4 linked regions of the Saccharomyces cerevisiae S288C genome follow. Changing the gene in region 3 together with the main gene of any one other region gives a genetic interaction. Each region holds a gene or a part of one and is shown on either strand. Other genes may lie near its edges.

Region 1 (5,450 bases), on a different chromosome or scaffold from region 3:
TGTCCAAGGGAACAATTTTTCTTCAAGTTAATGCATAAGAAATATCTTTTTTTATGTTTAGCTAAGTAAAAGCAGCTTGGAGTAAAAAAAAAAATGAGTAAATTTCTCGATGGATTAGTTTCTCACAGGTAACATAACAAAAACCAAGAAAAGCCCGCTTCTGAAAACTACAGTTGACTTGTATGCTAAAGGGCCAGACTAATGGGAGGAGAAAAAGAAACGAATGTATATGCTCATTTACACTCTATATCACCATATGGAGGATAAGTTGGGCTGAGCTTCTGATCCAATTTATTCTATCCATTAGTTGCTGATATGTCCCACCAGCCAACACTTGATAGTATCTACTCGCCATTCACTTCCAGCAGCGCCAGTAGGGTTGTTGAGCTTAGTAAAAATGTGCGCACCACAAGCCTACATGACTCCACGTCACATGAAACCACACCGTGGGGCCTTGTTGCGCTAGGAATAGGATATGCGACGAAGACGCTTCTGCTTAGTAACCACACCACATTTTCAGGGGGTCGATCTGCTTGCTTCCTTTACTGTCACGAGCGGCCCATAATCGCGCTTTTTTTTTAAAAGGCGCGAGACAGCAAACAGGAAGCTCGGGTTTCAACCTTCGGAGTGGTCGCAGATCTGGAGACTGGATCTTTACAATACAGTAAGGCAAGCCACCATCTGCTTCTTAGGTGCATGCGACGGTATCCACGTGCAGAACAACATAGTCTGAAGAAGGGGGGGAGGAGCATGTTCATTCTCTGTAGCAGTAAGAGCTTGGTGATAATGACCAAAACTGGAGTCTCGAAATCATATAAATAGACAATATATTTTCACACAATGAGATTTGTAGTACAGTTCTATTCTCTCTCTTGCATAAATAAGAAATTCATCAAGAACTTGGTTTGATATTTCACCAACACACACAAAAAACAGTACTTCACTAAATTTACACACAAAACAAAATGATCAGAATTGCTATTAACGGTTTCGGTAGAATCGGTAGATTGGTCTTGAGATTGGCTTTGCAAAGAAAAGACATTGAGGTTGTTGCTGTCAACGATCCATTTATCTCTAACGATTATGCTGCTTACATGGTCAAGTACGATTCTACTCATGGTAGATACAAGGGTACTGTTTCCCATGACGACAAGCACATCATCATTGATGGTGTCAAGATCGCTACCTACCAAGAAAGAGACCCAGCTAACTTGCCATGGGGTTCTCTAAAGATCGATGTCGCTGTTGACTCCACTGGTGTTTTCAAGGAATTGGACACCGCTCAAAAGCACATTGACGCTGGTGCCAAGAAGGTTGTCATCACTGCTCCATCTTCTTCTGCTCCAATGTTTGTTGTTGGTGTTAACCACACTAAATACACTCCAGACAAGAAGATTGTCTCCAACGCTTCTTGTACCACCAACTGTTTGGCTCCATTGGCCAAGGTTATCAACGATGCTTTCGGTATTGAAGAAGGTTTGATGACCACTGTTCACTCCATGACCGCCACTCAAAAGACTGTTGATGGTCCATCCCACAAGGACTGGAGAGGTGGTAGAACCGCTTCCGGTAACATTATCCCATCCTCTACCGGTGCTGCTAAGGCTGTCGGTAAGGTCTTGCCAGAATTGCAAGGTAAGTTGACCGGTATGGCTTTCAGAGTCCCAACCGTCGATGTTTCCGTTGTTGACTTGACTGTCAAGTTGGAAAAGGAAGCTACTTACGACCAAATCAAGAAGGCTGTTAAGGCTGCCGCTGAAGGTCCAATGAAGGGTGTTTTGGGTTACACCGAAGATGCCGTTGTCTCCTCTGATTTCTTGGGTGACACTCACGCTTCCATCTTCGATGCCTCCGCTGGTATCCAATTGTCTCCAAAGTTCGTCAAGTTGATTTCCTGGTACGATAACGAATACGGTTACTCCGCCAGAGTTGTTGACTTGATCGAATATGTTGCCAAGGCTTAAATAAAGCAATCTTGATGAGGATAATGATTTTTTTTTGAATATACATAAATACTACCGTTTTTCTGCTAGATTTTGTGAAGACGTAAATAAGTACATATTACTTTTTAAGCCAAGACAAGATTAAGCATTAACTTTACCCTTTTCTCTTCTAAGTTTCAATACTAGTTATCACTGTTTAAAAGTTATGGCGAGAACGTCGGCGGTTAAAATATATTACCCTGAACGTGGTGAATTGAAGTTCTAGGATGGTTTAAAGATTTTTCCTTTTTGGGAAATAAGTAAACAATATATTGCTGCCTTTGCAAAACGCACATACCCACAATATGTGACTATTGGCAAAGAACGCATTATCCTTTGAAGAGGTGGATACTGATACTAAGAGAGTCTCTATTCCGGCTCCACTTTTAGTCCAGAGATTACTTGTCTTCTTACGTATCAGAACAAGAAAGCATTTCCAAAGTAATTGCATTTGCCCTTGAGCAGTATATATATACTAAGAAAGGAATCATACTCTCTTATGTGCCATAATTCTGTTAGGAGCGGAAATAAGGCTGGTTTTTTGGGGATCAAGTTCGGAAGTGCTCTTCTCTCAATTGCCACAGGTGCCATTGCTATCGCATTGCTATGCAAGTTCCACGACCACGAAGCGGTACTGATAGTTATTGTATGCTCGACATTGTTATATGGAATACCGTCACTGATATCGTTTATCACAGAGACTGTTTTTGCGCCTAGCAAGTTTCATATTGGATACTTTTACAACGTTCTTAATTTTGCATTGCCACTGATCACCATGGGCTGCACAGTGGACTATTTTCATAATACCTTGAGGAGCCCAATATCGGTACAAAGCGAGTCTCACAGAGTCTATATAACAACTCTGGATTCTTTGTTAATTTTCACACTTTTCATTAATGGCATACAATTAGGATTCTTCCTGAAGGATGGCAATGCGAACAATTTCGGCAGCTCATCTAACAATATTAGTACGGATCAATATGACAAAGAAGCAAATGCGGTGGAAAATGGTAGATTTGTACCCCTTAAGAACTCTTCACAGACCTTAACACCAGATTTGGAATTATTACACGGTAGTCCCAAGAGTATGAATGGGGTAGCGTGGCTGATTAATGAACTCTCCACAAATTCAAACACAAACGCAAACAAAACCATATCATCCGATGAAAATTCAAACTCTTCAGTTATTCGACACAAATTAGGACCGATTAGCACCAGCAAGTGTCCTAAAAAGCCATCTCATTCGCATTTTTCTAAATTGAAAAAATATAACAGTTTCTTTTTGGGTCCTAAAGAAAATCGATACAAAAGAAATACACAACAAGCTACTAAGGTTCCGACAGAAAAGAAAAGCAACCACCGAAGTAGCCAGTATGTATCCAGACTATCAACCATATCTGACATCTCGAAAAGTTTCCTGAATTTCTTAGCATTAAACGAAAAAAACGGGAATTCGACTTCCACTGCGAGAACACCAAGTGAAGGAAGAGTTTCAATAATAATTAACGAAGGAAATAATACTTTGAAATACAAAACTCCCCATGATTCGCATACTATTGATTCTCCAAACTTGGAGTTAGAAAGAGAAGCTATTGGGAGAATTAATAGTGCCTTACTTCCTGCATGTTTGAGAGTAACAGATAAAATGATATCCCCACAGCAAAGCACTCAAAATGAGGACTCATACCAAGCAACACCATTGATACCCCAGGTGGAAGTTGACGATGATTTCTATGTAGGTGATATCTTAATGACTAATGAACTACAAGACATTCCACAAGTCCCAAGGATATCATCTGATATAGAAGACGATTTCGAACAACAATATACCAAACACGTGGATTTGCCAGCCCGTGTCACTTTAGAGATGTGGGAAAAGGATCAGGAGAAAATACTTCAAAAAGTAACCACAAACCGGGATAAAAGCAAATTACTACCCCCTTTCAGATTCACCTCTGAAAGTGATATGGATCCAAGTACATCCACCGAATTGGAAGTTGAACTGCATGCCCAAAACAACTTCAGCTTTCCCTTTAAAAGTGCAGGATTACAAATTGCTACATCAGACCAATTTAACCAACAGGAGTTTAAAACTTCAGATACTATTAGCGAACTAGATGAGTATTTACATGATCCCAGCATTCAAGAAGAGGATGCAAGTCAGCTGATTGAAAGCAGTTTGAACCAAAACAACCTATCCTCAACTACTATTGACAATGGCCCAAAGGATATGAGTAGATTTAGTACAAGGCATTCACCAACCAAATCGATAATTTCCATGATCAGTGGATCAGGAAGTGTCAAGCACCAACATTCACACAGCACCCTAAGCAACTTTTTTACGGGTCATTCAAGAAACAATTCTCAAATAAATCAGCTATTACAGGGTTCTTCTTCTAATATGATGTCCAACACCTCACCGCATTCATCTCCAACCAAGTCGTTGAGAATGAGATTTGGAAAGAAATTGTCATTATCAAATATCTCTGATACAATGTCGCCATATGAGGGTAGTACAACAGATCCGATAAACTACTCGTTTGGCCATGGTCACAATAAAAACCAGAGTATTGATTTTAGCTACGTACGTACTTTGCAAAGCAGTCATTCACCTACAAAATCAACCTCGGGAAATTCTCGTCGGGATTCTTTAAACAATGATAGAACCCAGAGTACTGTTAATGAAAGAGCGCTTAGAACTGCAAGTACATTATTCTATCTCCAGCACAATAACGCCACATGTACATTGAACGGAGAGGAGCCAGTTCTGGACACACCACAATCTATACAGTCATCATCAAGCGGTTCTGAGCAAGAATCGGCGGGATCTGGTTCTGGCTATCCAGAAGTAGTGTTCAGCGAGTATGATAGAGAAAAATGGAATGTTTTGAGGAATCTAAAAGAGATAGCGCCCGAAAAAACTATAGAGAGCGGACCTGTTGAAGAACTAGTCTCTCCCAGTAAATAAACCAACCGACTTATTCATATGTATCAAAGATACCTATGGGAACTGCTAAAAGCAACTATTTTGATCCCGTAGAACACGATTTATTTCATTAAATTTTTTTTTTTTTTTTTTTTTTTCACTTTCTTGCGATGAGATGCACATAGTAAAAGAAAAGTATACCAGTGTAGTGCGTAAATTAATACCTATATAATAATTCATTTTCGGTGACTCAACATTCCCTGCCTATATTTTAAGCACCTGCAAGAAATATAGATTATATACGAAGGATGGATTCTACTGATCTGTTCGATGTTTTCGAGGAAACACCTGTTGAGCTTCCTACAGATAGTAATGGAGAAAAAAATGCTGATACAAACGTAGGAGATACTCCAGATCATACCCAGGATAAGAAGCATGGCCTTGAAGAAGAAAAAGAAGAGCATGAGGAAAACAACAGTGAAAATAAAAAAATCAAATCCAATAAGAGCAAAACGGAAGATAAAAACAAAAAAGTTGTAGTA
Region 2 (4,861 bases), on a different chromosome or scaffold from region 3:
GATGCAAGCTTGCTTTTTCTTTCATGACTATTTAAATGCCTTCTTAATTGCTGATTTGTGACAAATCTTTTTTGACATAATGTGCACGCTTTGGGCTTGATTTGTGAATGAGTCCATTTGTGAACTCGTAGATGGCACGGTCTTATAAATTTTTTGCCACATCCCGGCTCATCACAATGATACGGCTTTTGATTGGTATGCGAATTTTGGTGTTGCTGAAGCAAACTAGGTCTGTTGTAGACTTTCTCACAACCGTCAAAAGAACATTTGTAATTTCTAGACTTGGTTCTCCCTATATCCGTCATTGTTTTGGTGGCCACGTATTCTGGTACCACTTGTGCACACCAGCGTAAAAGTTGTCATTTTCATCTTCTTTAGCGTATTTATTGTCCGAGACTGTTAAAGAAAAATTATTACTGTTTTTTTGCTATTACTAAAGAATAAATAACTATAAAATATGAAATAGAATCTATATGGAACATGCAGAATTTCGCTTTGGTTTAAGCCCACTTACCGATCAAAGCCATGATACCAGCACCGAAAAGAGTGCATATAACGTTGAAGGACAATTCTCTTAGATCCTTTGTTCTTTGAGGATTGAATATAAAGTCTCTTGCTAGTAGTTCAACCAAACCAGTGTACAATAAGATACCAGCAGAAATGGCATCCAAAACACCAGAGATAACAAGCGCAGTGTAAGAACCGCTGACGTATCTGGTACGAACACCCAAACCGATGGCCACACAGATTGGTGTGGTTAACCCATACGCAACACATAGGGCCCATGGCCACCATCTCTTTGATCTAGGGAATTCAATGGCTGACAATCTTGCACCAATACCTAAACCTTCAAATGATTGATGGAACACTAAGACAGGGTATAGGGAGGAGAACTCATCACCAACACTTCCCAGGTTTAGACCGATCATAACGGAGTGGAAAATCACACCGAATTCTAAAATTAAAAAGGCATAAAATTGTGCTTGAAATGATTGAACAACATCCATGGATGTAGCGTCTGAATCTTCATAATACTCTACTCCGTTCTTGGTGTCATGAGATCCATTTGCAGTACCATTCTCATTGTCATTCTCACTTGAAACAGCTGCAGTGTTTCTCACAACAGTGTCTTTAATTTCATCGTGGGTATGGTCATGGGAAAGACCATACTTTCTTTCAACCCAGACGCTACTGAATAGATCAGTAAGGAAAGTGAAGGTCAAACTCGTTAGCATAATGGCAGGACACCATGAATAAAGACCCCAGTTACCGGTTTGTCCTACACAAGTGGTACCACCAATCGCACCATAAGCAGGGTCCATTAAGTGGATAAATGCGGTTGCAACAATAACACCGGAACCAAAATACTTTGCGAAAAGGTAAACATATAGAGGAATTCTCAATCTTTTCACTTTTGTTGAGATTAATGGGAACATGGTGAAAAAAGTACTCACGAAAAGAATAACAAAGACGGAAGATATTCTGGCACCTAAGTTACCATTGTACTCGTTTCCACCAAAGTAAACACCTTGCAAAACACAGGTCTTCCACACATCATCAGGGGTTTTATCGGCAAGTGTAACTTCAGAAGGGTCCCATTGTTTCCACCACGGCGTAGTAACGTTGCTCATAATTCCTTTTTTGATATTTGTGCTGTTGTTTTATTGTCTATACTTGCAGTTTTTTTGTAAATAGGGAAGAGATGAGATCATGACAGCCGATACCAGGCCTCTATTTATAACTAAGTCATCGAGCTAATGCCGTGCGTAATTTCTTTTTTTCTTAATTTCGTTCTACACATTTGCTCTCAACCTACTTTCCATGACCTTCAAGGTCAAATATGTTCATCTGTCTCATCTCATTGGAGAGAAGATACCTGAGCACATCTGATAATTTTGGGAAATGTCATTGTAATTTGAAGAATACCGCACAGATGAGAACCTTGAGGGTATCTTTGGTCCTTCGAGGTTTTTACAGGCAAGAGAGTACGGGTGTATTGTTTTTTAAGCAGCAACTATATTTTTTTTTAGTTATCTGGCGCGCGCGCCTTAGCTGAAGAAAACTGACGGTAACGGTACCCCAAAGGTCACAATAAGTACTTGCGCCATGTTCTAGTGCATTTGACTAATTTGCCGTAGCGTGGATCTGCATTGTCCAAAGGGTAGGAGTCACATCAGGTGTTTGTTGCGCCCAGTTTGGAAACATTTGTCCCATAGAGTGATGAATGTGAGCTCATGTCGCCGTAATCGCCGTGTAATTTACCGCAGGAATTGGCCATAATCAGACATTAGTGTCAATTTGTCCTTTCATATTAGGAAAGTCTGAAATACTCTTGCCTTCTAGAAAATTTTCATAGAAGCTTGGCAATTGCTTCTCTCAAATGCTGTTATTTCCACCCTAATGAAAGAAGCATATCAGATTCAGAGATCTTGTTAAATCCAATTTTATGTCATAATGTCGATAATTGACGTAATTTCCATTTCGTACTATGTAAAATAATGCTTATTTGGCACTTTGGTGTTTGGCAGAATACCATTTCTTTTTATTAGGGACAAAAAAAGAAATATCTGACCTGAAAGTATTTTTTTTTTTATTATAGATTTTCTCTCCAGGTACATCTATCTCAAGTCTAACCGGGATTTGACGTCTAATAGATTTTAAAATACCAATTGAAGATTGGTGCCGCTTGTTTTCCTTCTTAAAACAAGCGTATTCTTTCTAAGGCTCTCCTCCCACAAAATAATCTTTAAAGTATCGATTATCAAGGTGGACACAAAGGATATAATGTGGAGCAGTGAAACATCTGCAATCCGGGAATCGGAGAGCATTTAGAAAAATTGTGAAGAAACAGCAAGTTTTAGGCCAAATAATTTTTCTTCTTGAAGCATCAAGTTATCCGTGGCATACTTTGAATGGAAACTGAATTAACTGCTGTGATACAGAACAAAAATAAAGAGGATGGCAGGGAGAGGAAATGATAAAATAAGTTACGCCACTTAAGCAAAAATGATAGATGAAGGGCCCAATTAAAGATCACTTTTTTCTTAGCGAAGTATGCGGGAGAATGCTTGATTGACTCTCGTAAAGGCTCTCGAAAAAAATAGGCGCGTTTAGTAACAAAGAACATGGTAGTACAATTGATTAATACTTTTTTTTTCTGTTTTAGCAGTGGAGCTCTTAGCGAAGGAGCGATGTGCTGTGGGACTTCTCAACCCCCTTCATTCTGTAATTTGCCTAATTCATATTATGAGGATTTGTCGTCCTAAAATTTGGAAGTAGCATATTTCTTCTTCACTCAAGAAGAAATACCCCTCTAGATATTAGCTTTATTCTGGTGGCCTGTCACTGTCACATATATTATTCAATGATTATTGGTTTTCTAGTTCCATTCGCACGATAACAGAGGAACAATCTATTTACAGTAGCGCTGATGGCATCTTGTGTGAAACTAATGGTATTTGCGTAGACAAAACCCAATACACATCTAAATTGTCGATACTTGTGAGGTGTGGATATTCTAACGATCAAAATAGCTTAGATGAAACGACTTGCTGTGCTGCGGGTGTGACTGAATGTATTTTCAACGTACTGAATGTACTCTCAACGTGGGCGTGAAGTTGAGGGCTGGGCAGAATCTAGAGTGGATCATAGCAAATATGTTAAACATAGAAGTAAACTGAGAGACTGACGAGTTTCTTTTGTCAACAGGCGTTGAATCTTGTTAGATATTAACGAGGTGGATTTTTGGCAGGTAATTTCGCAACCCGACTTTTCAATTTGCGCTTCCCATATTTTACACTTTTTTTAGTCAGTAAATGCAAACGACAGCAAATAAATGAATTAAATCAGCTAAGAAAGGAAAAAAATTAGAAGGAAATGGTAGTTAAAACATGGACAATTTAGTGTATTGCTTGTTACTGGTTTTACGGAAAGCTATATGATATAAACTAGCCAAAAGAATAATTTTTATGAAATTGAAATGTAAGATGTCGTTTAATTGATAGTTAGAGTTTTTCTATTAATATTTAGATCTAGCAAGTTTCTTTACAGCTACATCTAACATTCAAATTTACGGTTTTGTTTGAATGATTATTACTCTATTGACAAACTGTCTGAACATATACATTTTGGGTGCATTGAAGTATGCACATTATATTAAGACATGTTTAACCATAAAAACAGTTCTTAACTGGTGCGCACTATTGCTGAGTATCCAAAGGAATGATCGTATTTAAAATTTTACATTTGAAAGAAAAACAGGCGGATGCGCTAACAAAATTCTAGCGCTATGTGAATTTTTTAATGCAGGATCCATGATCTTAACCTATGTCTACGAGCTACTGAAGGCCCTCGTTTTTCTATTCGATCACGAGCTCTACTGCTGGGCAATTCCGATGTACTTTAGTCATATCGATGATATAAAGACTGTATTAATATTTGTCAGTTAAATAAAAAAAGTATTTCTTTGGAAAACGTTGAAAATGAGGTTCTATGATCTACTGCGGCAAGTTCATCTTCCAAGGAGAACATAGAATAAATTTGGTACTGGAACGTTGATTAACTCTTCATGAATTTTTTTTAATTAGGAACTTTCATAGTAGATTAGCCAACTATTCTTAATGGTTACTATATAAAAACAGAAAAGAGGGGCCGTTTCTTGTGATATAAATATTACCTGTAATTTTCATTATTATGGTTTAGTTATAGAAGTTCATCATTAAAAAACTATCAGTAAATTTTAATTAAAACTTTCGCGAGAAGAAGGTACATGATCATTTTGAATAAACAAAAAAAATGTTTCGACCTAGTATTCGATAAATAAACATTTATTTGCTGACAATTTTTAAGATTTCATCGTCTC
Region 3 (4,170 bases):
GCTGCCAACGATGCAGGTGCGCTAGCATTCACTATCGAAGCTCCATATGAAGATGCATTGTACCCAATGACCGTTTCCTTCCAAGAGTCCACGAGGGATAAATTAGCTAAGAGTTTCACCGGTATGGCCATACAATCTGTTGTCATGGCCAATGACCACGATCAAGAGCTCCCTTACGACGTCATCACCTCTTTGAAATCAGATGAATATCTTGTCCAATAGTACGTTACATTCACATATAAAATACTTAAGTTATATACACAAACTAAATAAATAAAAATCGAGGTATCTTTTCTTTCGTCCTTCTATATATATAGTTTAACTTACTCTTATTCTTTATTATTTTTCCTTTTAGGGTTACCCGTCAATCCTTTTTATTAAAGATGTTCCAGCTTCTTGGTTTAGAATTTGCCACCTTAAATACGTACCCACATAGTAAAGTACAGCTAAGTTAAGAAAGGGGATAAGCAGCAGGAATCCTTCATCTTCCGCCGAAAACAACATAAAAACCCACACGAATGAATCACGATCCTTTCAGTTGGGGCAGGCCCGCAGACTCTACTTATGGTGCTTACAATACACAAATTGCGAACGCAGGCGCCTCTCCCATGGTTAATACACAGCAACCAATAGTAACAGGTACTTCCGTCATATCAATGAAATATGATAATGGGGTTATCATTGCAGCAGATAATTTAGGTTCATATGGCTCTCTTCTAAGATTCAATGGCGTGGAGAGGCTTATTCCCGTGGGTGATAACACCGTTGTGGGCATTTCAGGTGATATTTCTGATATGCAACACATTGAGAGATTATTGAAAGATCTAGTCACTGAAAATGCGTATGACAATCCTCTAGCGGATGCTGAAGAAGCGCTCGAACCCAGCTATATTTTTGAATATCTAGCTACCGTCATGTACCAGCGAAGATCAAAGATGAATCCACTTTGGAATGCCATCATTGTTGCTGGTGTACAGTCTAATGGTGATCAATTCCTAAGATACGTAAATCTTCTAGGTGTTACGTATTCGTCTCCCACCTTGGCCACAGGTTTTGGGGCACACATGGCAAACCCACTGTTAAGGAAAGTTGTAGATCGAGAATCTGATATTCCAAAGACCACTGTACAGGTTGCTGAAGAGGCGATCGTAAATGCAATGAGAGTTCTTTATTATAGAGATGCCCGTTCTTCTAGAAACTTCTCACTGGCCATAATTGATAAGAACACAGGTTTAACTTTCAAGAAAAACTTGCAAGTTGAAAACATGAAATGGGACTTCGCCAAGGATATTAAAGGCTACGGTACTCAAAAAATTTAGAAGAGTTTTATCCCACCTTCATTAAATACTCATTTTATTTTTATTTTTCAATTCATAATATCATCACTCTTCTCTCTTCCTAAGTAACTACGTTTTTACATAGATATAATGATATGTGTAAAGAAACTATAAAATAACAAAAAAAAATCATAATATTACTGCATCTATCCTTCACCATGCACCACCGCTATTTATGCTCTCCAATTCATGCTCGTTAATAGGTTTGTACCGAAACCTAGCAGGTAGCTCGAAAATGGAAGCAAGCTCATCTTTTTGCAATGGCCTGTTAACGAATACAGAGGTCTTTGACGAGCTGAGACCAGCATTAGCGCTATGCTTTATTGGCACTACACGGAATGGTTTATAATTTTCCATGAATTTACTCACTGGAATACACTCTTTGCTGCCAGGTAACATTCCGTTGGTAGCGCAAGGATGAACAACGACCTCAGTTGCATGCTTCACTAAGGGATGCCTTGTACCGACGAATTTTATCATCGGCTCATATGCACTCTTTGCTAATCTTATAGGTGTAGCAATCATTTCCCTGTCTTCTTGTACTTTTATCTTACTCTTATTATCGGTTAAAAACCTGGGGAAGTACTCCTTAATGGTTTGCTTTAAAGAATTCAATGCGGCTAGAAATGAAAAAGACTTTTAAGATCACTGAAACACTGCAATCTGGCTAAAATATTAGTCTTCACTATCGTCTTTTTCTCCTTTGTTGATGCGAAAGATGAATTTACATATTCGAGTCCCTTAGTCATATTATTGTACTTTTAATGCAATCTTGAGGGGAGCCAATCAACGAGTGGTTTTACTTGCACGTGACCAAGAATGGTAATAACGGTGAAATATATGACTAAAAACCTTGATAACTAAATATATCATTAATTTATTTTTAATGCCGTCTAGAAGGGTGTATGAATATCTATGTAGAAGTATGACGATGAATAATTACATAACGAACGAAAATCTCTGTTAATGAAAATATAACTCCAAATAAAATGACAAGAATAAACCACCATGTAACACGAGCCATGTTTCTTTCAGCAACAGAGTCAACGCATATATCAAAGAATTCCAAGAAAACTTTGCAACGATCATTTAATACTTGTACTCTTTGGTCAATTTCTAAATACTCCCTCATTGCCACGTACAGTGGATGCAAACTTGGTTCGAACGACCAAAAAAACTCGGGTGTATCCAATATGGTGGATGAAAGGTTAACATCCACTCTCAATTTAAAGAGCTTCCCTGATTTTTTCAAAAGCTGTTCCCTTTTTAACCCAAGGGTACCATATAATGCTAGTCTTTTAGGTAGTTTTGTGACTGATATTAAAATCGGCGAAATTCTGGATTCAAACCTTGATAATTTCGAAGATTGCGCAATCGCATGTGATAGTGTCAGCTCGATAATGTGGTCACCTGAACGTAATGTGACAATATCATTGAAAATTCTCGGTCTCTCGGTATCTCTGTCATATTCGAAATGGAATTGTTCAGTTTCAATATCTTGTTCATCCAGCGGCCGGATCATTAAATTCTTATAATCTGCAAATGTTATATCACCAAGAATATTTTTCTCTTGAATTTCAGTAAAGTTCCAAAAAACAATAACGCCATAGTGAAAAATGAAAATTTCTGCATGTCTATCATTGCCTTCATGGTCGTTGTCCCTATGCATTTTATATACACGATCAAAATCATTCTGTGATGAAGATGGTGGCGATGGCGTAGATATTGATGATGGCGAAGCTGGTGAACGAGAGGACTGTACATACTGATCGTTTCCCTCAACAGCATAAAGTTTACTCTTATCATTATTTTTATTATTATTATCGTTGCCACAACTTGCATCACTGTCGTTTTCCTCCTTCTTCAGCATGTTTATTCTTTCTGTCCTTTCCCGTTTCTCTATCTCTAAGGGAGTTTCTTCCGCAAAAAATTGTGGTTCCATAGGATTAAAAGAGTCTTGCTGACCAACTGGATTTGGTAGATGATCGGGAACTGTTGTGGTGTCTTGATTAGCGTTATTGTTATTTCCACTGGTTTCTAGTTCGTAATTATTATTTGCATCTTCCACAGTTTCCACACCTGAGTAATATTCATAATGATGATCTCTCTGTTCGCTTGTATCAATTAAATTATCAATTAATGTCTTTCCACCCATTGTTTTCTTAGATAAATTTGATTTGATTCTAAAACCGCCTTTACCTGGTAGAAGTGGCAAAGTATACGCAACGTATAGACACTCATCATACAATCTTGGTGAAACCTCATGAGTTTCCTGCAGAAACTTATACAATTGGTTGAGATTGAAGCCATCAGCAACATTATATGCGGTGATTCTTGCCATGGACTTTTCTTTTGAGTATCGAGGTAGCCGATCGAAGGAATTAGACTTCATAGAGCCCACTTTCGGTCTTTGCCTATCCAGCGCGTTCGTTGGTAGAGTTTGAAAGTGGTTCAAGTTGTCGTCTTCCGGTATCAACACTAACTTTTGTGACGTCTTCGATGTTCTTGGAGGCAGGGGATTGATCATCTTTCTACGCGAACTTAACCGCTCATATTGGCGAGGCCTATCGCTTGAAGAGCTGGATAGCCTTTCCTCTCTTCTGGCAGAGGGAATATCTGAATTATCAGAAAGAATATTATCTATGGATATATCGCTAAACCTGCCAGACGATCGCCTTCTTGGATGAGTAAAACTCTGCAGCGGAGAAGGGCCAATAGCGGAAGAGCGAACTCCTTGAGACTTCGTAACTCCTGCGTTTTCCATATTCTTCCTACTACCAGCAGCGTGTCCAGCGAACGGTGCACTCATTCTATTCTTGGATGTTCTTGCATC
Region 4 (6,840 bases), on a different chromosome or scaffold from region 3:
TTCCTTATCTATATGACACGCTGTTATTTTAGTTCAAGTCAGTGTCCAATTGGGGTGAGTGTCACGTGCACAACGACGGTAGTCGTTGGATGTGCTAAATGATGTTCTACTGCCAATGACTGCAAATACGTTCGAAGAGTATAAAATCGAAGGAAACGAATTAAGTTGCCAATCCTTACTGTAACTATAGCATGTTACATATATGTACCATAAGTATCACATTAAGGTTTCGCCATAGCCATGTGCCTATATTAAATAGAAATATCACATGGCGATCCACGGAATGTTTATAGATTTTCTTCTTTTGTCTATGGCCCGGGCGAGACATTAATTTATCTTGCTGAAAAATTCGAAAGTTAAAACTCAATTATGCGTGGGATTTCTCAATTAGGTTACCAGAATTTCAATCTGCTGAAGAATTATGTCTTAAAAAAAAAAGTCCCGCCTCAAAAAAGCCAAAAAGGGTGTGACTGTAGATTGTGGGTTACTTGCTGTCAAATGACATGAAAATCTCTGCCTGCATGATCCCTGTCAAAATTCGAAAACACGCGGTCATAAAATTGTGCCTCAAAAAGATATCTTTTCCTGCGGGTTCTCTTAGTAAATGAGGTTAGGTTGTTTCCTATTCTTACGAGATTTCCCTTGTTCTCGCCGCTCACATCATTGTCGGTAAGATCTTCCGTAGTGGCAGGTCAAGCAGTGAGGAAGAAAGATCGGCAGTAAACTGATAAGAGCCAAACCGAAAAGTTTCTTATACGCAAAAACGCTTTGAAAATTCTCCAAGAATCCTATTTGAAACTCTTATTAATAAATAAAGTATAAATATAATAAAGTTTATTGTGAGACATGTCGCGATAAGCACCCCTTGTCTTTCTTGGAAGGGAGAAATTTGTAATATAAAGCCAAGTGTTCAGAACTCGATTTTTTTCTGACCAAAGAGCGGAAGCTCCACTATAAAAGTTGGGAGGTACTTTTAGGTTCTCTTAAGTTCGCATTTAATTATGGCCTGAACGATTTTACTGTGGACAATAAGTGAAATAAGTGTCCTTAAAATGTGTACGATGTGTACACATCAACCTAGTCTCCCCTTCATTGGCAGAAGAGGGAACCATTTCATCCAAAAAGAATAAAAAAAATAAAAAAAATCCAAATATTAAGCTAAAAAAATACTTAACTGTTTACACAAAGCGTATATAAAACGCATATTAAGAACCTATCTCGTTTCAGAGGAATAAACTTTTAATTCCTCAGTTAAAAAAATTAGTTAAAGAAAGCAAGAACGAAAATACCGACCAATGCATTCAAAGTATTGGCATTCAAACCTGCGGCAATACCCTCGGACTGGACAATGATACCAGTAGAGGTCTTTATTGGAGCTGCAGATTTGGAGTATGTGGAAATTGCACTAGAAGCCTTGGAAATGGCAGTAGTCAATGAGGTTGCTTTAGAACCCTCAGAAGTGACAGTAGTGTATGACTTTGGAGAAGCACTAGTTGCGGTGACGGTTGAAGTAGCTTCAGGTATTTGAGAGGTGATTATCTTGACGTTACAACCATTGTCATCACATTGAGTAACAGTGGCAGTAGTGTATGTCTTAGGGGCAGCACTGGTTTCTGAAGTTTCTGAAGTTTCTTTAGGAGCTTCAGAAGTGACAGTCTTGGTGCTACATCCATTGTCATCGCACTGAGTAACAGTAGCGGTAGTGTATGTCTTTGGAGAAACAGTAGTGGTTGTGGCTTCAGGGGCCTCAGAGGTGACAGTCTTAGTGTTACAGCCGTTGTCGTCACAGTGAGTAACGGTAACAGTAGTGTATGATTTTGGAGAAGTAGTAGTTGCTGAAGTTTCTTCAGGACATTCAGAAGTGACAGTCTTGGTGTTACAGCCATTGTTGTCACAGTGGGTGACGGTAACAGTGGTGTATGATTTGGAAGAAACGGTTTCAGTGGCGACGGTACCGGTAGACGTAGTTACATGACATCCGGTCTCATCGCAAGAAGTGATAGTGGCGGTGGTAGATGAACATGGTACGGTTGTGGTAATGGTATAGACGTTACCGTTCGAATCAGTTGTTTCTGAACAGGAGACAACTACTGTGCTTGTGGTTGTTGCATATGTTAATGTTGTGGTATAAACAGATGGGGAGCCGGAAATCAAGGTGGAAGCCGTTGAACCAGTCACGGAAGCACCGAATGAAGTGGAAGCGGTTGAACCAGTTACGGAAGCACCGAATGAAGTGGAACCGGAAGTAGAGTTGGTAGCCCCTGATGTGGTAGATGTGGATGAGGGTGTAGCGCTGGAAGCAACAACACCTCCGTAATTTAGATAATAAGCATAGGCACCAGCAAATGTTCCTTCGGAGACGTTGAAGCCAGAACTGGAGAACCCAGTACCAATAGAGAAGGAGAATTGTGAGTTGCCTTGTGTTGCAGTTAAAACACCAGTAGCACTGTCGTAAGAAAGAGCAGTGACATCTGCTGTAATGGCGATTTGGTTTTCACCAGTGTATCCAACCACAGGGATAGGAGTAGTGTTGGTTTCGGTTGGGTCAACGGCAAGAACACCTTCACCCTTGAATACAACAGTTTGGCCAGTAAAGGTGTCTGGATAGTGCAAGTAAAGGTTGCCAGAGATGATGTTGATTGTACCACTTCCAGAAACTGGTTCGACAACGACGTAGGTACTGCCATTCTCAAGATTTATCTCACCGTTGTTGACAGAACCTGATTCAGCTCTACGCTGCAAACCAGAGACGGAACCACCATTGAGAATAGCATTTGAGAAAGAGAAAGCACCAGAGTTAGAGTAGGGAGAGAATGTGACTTCGCCCTTTGTGGACTCTGATAGACTCAAAGAAATATCACCACTGTTATCGAAAGAGCCTGGAGTGAAGGAGTAGGCAGATGCGGAAGAAGCAGCAGGCTCTTCAGCGTTAAAGGTACCAGATACATCAAAGTTTTCACCAGAAATGTCGAATTCGGTACCTGGGTAAGTTGGCTTAGACTTTTCTACGAAAACGCCACCATGGATTATGAAATCAGCAGAGAAAACGTATTTGTCACCATCAAGTAGGGTCAACTTACCACCTGCAGCGACTTCGACAGCTTCAGTTGCAATGACTGAACCGGTGAGTGTGATGTCACCACTGATGGTTGTAGAAGGCAAATAAATAGTACCATCGCTGGAAGAAAGAGAGTTGGAAGCAGTTGCAGTTGCACTAGAAGCCGAAGAGGTAATAGAACTTAAGGTACCGGAGGTGATAGAACCAGAGGCAGTGGAAGCCGATGAGGTTGATTGAGGAATTGAACTCGAGATACCTGGAGCAGAAGAAGCTGATGAACCGGAAACGGAGGAACCAGATTGTGTAACAGAACCGGACGTGCTGGAGGCTGATGAACCGGAAGCGGTACCAGATTGTGTGATAGATGATTCAGATGCTGATGAGGATGAGCCTGATTCTGTGACAGAACCGGATGAGCTAGGAACCGAAGAAGCGGAGCCTGATTCTGTGGCAGAAGATGAACCGGAGACTGATGAGCCTGATTCTGTGGCAGAAGATGAACCGGAGACTGATGAGCCTGATTCTGTGGCAGAAGATGAACCGGAGGCGGATGAGCCTGATTCAGTGGCAGAAGATGAACCGGAGGCGGATGAGCCTGATTCAGTGGCAGAAGTTGAACCGGAGACTGATGAGCCCGATTCAGTGGCGGAGGATGAGCCTGATGTAATGGAAGTAGATGAACCGGAGACTGATGAGCCCGATTCAGTGGCGGAGGATGAACCGGAGGCGGATGAGCCTGATTCAGTGGCAGAAGATGAACTGGAGACTGATGAGCCTGATGAAGTAATAGAAGATGAGCCGGAGACTGAAGAGCCTGATGAAGTAATAGAGCTCGAGACTTCAGAGGACGAGGTTGATGGAGCAATGGAGCTCGAGACTTCGGTGGAGGATGACGTTAACTCAGTGAGAGAGCTCGAGACATCAGAAGTAGATGAGGTCAACTCAATAGAACTACTGATGGAAACGGAACCTGATGAAGTTGACGAAACGGCGGTGGAGCTGTTACTAGCGATTGAGGAACTGTTGGTATAATATTGGCCCAATGCACTTTGGGAGTAAAGGACCAAAGCCAAAGCGGCTTGAAGTTTATTAAAGCGATTGAACATCTCTTTGACAGGCGAGATCTTACCAAAAAGAATCAACGATGGGTATTTGTTGTTACTGACTTGAGAACCAGAAAAGGCATAAACCTAAGATAATGGGATGGCAGAACCGATACTAATGAGATGAATATGAAGCTTTTTATATGCTTTTTGCAAGTGTGAGCGGACTCCGAATACGCAACTGCGTAGATTAACCGCTGGGCTAGCTTAAATCTCCTACGGGCACTTCTGCGGAAGCATCCGCAAGTTCTGTGCGCGCGCGTTCCTTGCAACGAACGGGGGGGCATTTTAATGAGTAAACAAAGATATTCCGCTGCTAATAACAACAAGAGACCCCCTAAGCAGTCTGCAAAACCGTGCAGGACGTGGTCTAAGCTACTTTGATAAGATAGTCACAGGAACCTTTTTGGAAAATTAAACTATTACCGAAAAAAGCCACAACACAGGGCCTAGCACCAAGCATTTTCACCCAATTCGTCATGAAAAGTCATTATTACCTTATTTCCAATTGGAGAGTTAGCCAGGAATCTCCGCTCAGAATGAACTAGCAGTATAAAGAAAAATATACGACTTGGATAAAGAGGAATGCTTTAGTAAGCTACACCTCACTTTTCGATGAAAAGGAGTTAGTGGTTGCCTTCCGTGAGCGCGAGATATTTATTTTTATGTTCCTAAGGCGCGTGTCTACCTCGTATTTCTGCAACGCGAGCACGGTTTTCTGTTGAGGAGTGGCTGGTAAAGGCCCTTTAAAAATACCACGCCATTTTAGTAGGCCCTACTAACTAATTCATAGCAAAATTCAGAACTTATCCATTAGAAATAAATTGCGGTGCCTACGAAAAGAACGTTCCCTTGGCAAAATTAAAGAAAAATTAAACGTGATCGGTCTATCGAGCAGGCCATTGAAGCATATGTACAAGCACGGTTTGAGTGCTTAGAATTGAACAGTTATTACAGTTCTTAACACTGTTTCTCTAAAAGTGCAAAAAAGGCACGGTCACATAGACTAATCTTGCAGCGGTTCCAAGGCTTATTTGTTGAGTTGGGTTAGTGGAACGAAGTAGCAGTCAATTCCAACGTAGATCGGTATATACGTTCAAGCCCCCCTGAAAGTTGCCGAGGCCAAATGGAGAAAATAAGTTGTTCCCCTCTTTTTATTAAGAATTAAAGTGTTCTATTTTAGATTGATTTCCTACCATTGGTTTCAACTTCTCTCTCTGATTCAGTTAAGCGACGGTGTTTTTAATTCAGATTTGATTGTCCGTCTCCATTTTTTGGTAAGATAAGTGTGAGCAAGTTTGAGGGGTTACTACTGACTCAGAAACCGTACTGCTATGTAGTACTTGCCTTCGTCCTACCTAGTAACTATTATTTCTACCTAGGAAACATTTTAGGGTATGATCTACCCCATTGCGGGGTGCCTTTTTCTTACGTTAGCGAGTACTCGAATGAGGGTGAAATGGCATCGTCATTGATTGCCGAGGACAGACTCCCCAACATTGAGGTGTTTATGGTTGGCCTTACTGATAAACCATAAAAATACGGTCCGATATGTGTAGTGGTTCCGTTATATTTTTGGCATGGTAAGCATGTATAGGTATATGCTACATTCAATTATCTGGAAAGGCGGTTTTTTAAGCTCATTTTCTTTTTTGAGCTTATTCTTGAAGATAATGCTATCACACGTGCATAATAAAATAGTAGCTTTTTCTTGTAACTGCGCTCTTTTTTAGCCGCATTCCAATTTAGCCTTAAATCGTGAACGTGGAGATGATTATTTCATCTCAACTAACTTGTATAACCTTATTTGCGTAGTCTTCGCGGGGTAATTTTTGATGGTGTAAACTTTTACCATAGAAATACGATACTCTACATGTAGTTTTGTCTATTTAGTGAAATCCGACAAACTGCGACGGCTAGCAAGTTCTTGCTTGTTTCTCACTAACAGCTTATTCTTTCAAGGAAAGGTGTATAATTAGTTCGACAAAATTCAGTCCGATTCCAAAAATATGGTTGCTGAATCGAGAATCAACTATTGTTAATTGACTAGCAGTCTTCTTGCTAGTATATATGACATACTGGTGCAAATATGGCATAACATCAAGAGGCAGTCATCATATCTAAAGGATACAGAAATGGAAGGATTGATAATGTAACAAGGTAATGAACGACAATATGTAAAATGAATGAAAGCCTCAATAATATCATACAGACAAAAATCGATTCCCTTTTGTGAATTTTTTTTTTTGTATCCTCCAGGAGAAATTCATACCTAATGAGAACAGTGGAATCCCAACACAATTATCTAATTTTTTCATCTATTTCTCATAGATAAAATGAAATTTCAATAATTGACCAATATTCACCTGGCCCATAATCAATCGCTGTAATAAAATCTCCAAAAAGGGTAAAACTAAACAACTTTTAAAATGTGAAAAATTAAGTAAAGAAAAAGATAAGAATAAAGTCCAACAAGAGTCAACTGCTTGAAATTTTCAGCTGAAGTGGAAAAGAGGTGCTGATCATTGAGTGCCAAACGGAAGTTTGTTGCTGCCGCAATGTCAATGAAGCATTAAGCTCTGACGTTTTGCCGTTTCTTTTTGGGCAGTATGCGATCAATTTATGCTAGCCAAAAGAAAAAAATCGTATGCGCGCTGAATCAGCCGTAGCTAGCTGTCG

What was found.
Region 1: mutations in KGD4 (region 3) and IRC8 together harm fitness more than expected from each alone (negative genetic interaction), as found in Saccharomyces cerevisiae (one large-scale study listed by BioGRID).
Region 2: mutations in KGD4 (region 3) and ZRT1 together harm fitness more than expected from each alone (negative genetic interaction), as found in Saccharomyces cerevisiae (one large-scale study listed by BioGRID).
Region 4: mutations in KGD4 (region 3) and HPF1 together harm fitness more than expected from each alone (negative genetic interaction), as found in Saccharomyces cerevisiae (one large-scale study listed by BioGRID).

The regions. Positions count from the first base shown.
Region 1 is NC_001142.9:337,306-342,755, forward strand, and holds IRC8 (Irc8p), read left to right. Parts: upstream 1-2,481; coding exon 2,482-4,950; downstream 4,951-5,450. Other genes in the region: YJL052C-A (uncharacterized protein), read right to left, coding at 579-698; glyceraldehyde-3-phosphate dehydrogenase (phosphorylating) TDH1, read left to right, coding at 966-1,964; ATP-dependent RNA helicase MTR4, read left to right, coding at 5,217-5,450.
Region 2 is NC_001139.9:17,748-22,608, reverse strand, and holds ZRT1 (high-affinity Zn(2+) transporter ZRT1), read right to left. Parts: upstream 1,632-4,861; coding exon 501-1,631; downstream 1-500. Other genes in the region: FZF1 (Fzf1p), read right to left, coding at 1-305. UniProt on the Saccharomyces cerevisiae protein: High-affinity zinc transport protein.
Region 3 is NC_001138.5:246,215-250,384, reverse strand, and holds KGD4 (alpha-ketoglutarate dehydrogenase subunit KGD4), read right to left. Parts: upstream 1,863-4,170; coding exon 1,491-1,862; downstream 1-1,490. Other genes in the region: RET2 (coatomer subunit delta), read left to right, coding at 1-222; PRE4 (proteasome core particle subunit beta 7), read left to right, coding at 519-1,319; RMD8 (Rmd8p), read right to left, coding at 2,251-4,170. UniProt on the Saccharomyces cerevisiae protein: Molecular adapter that is necessary to a form a stable 2-oxoglutarate dehydrogenase enzyme complex (OGDC).
Region 4 is NC_001147.6:27,443-34,282, forward strand, and holds HPF1 (mannoprotein), read right to left. Parts: upstream 4,165-6,840; coding exon 1,261-4,164; downstream 1-1,260. UniProt on the Saccharomyces cerevisiae protein: Involved in cell wall organization and biosynthesis.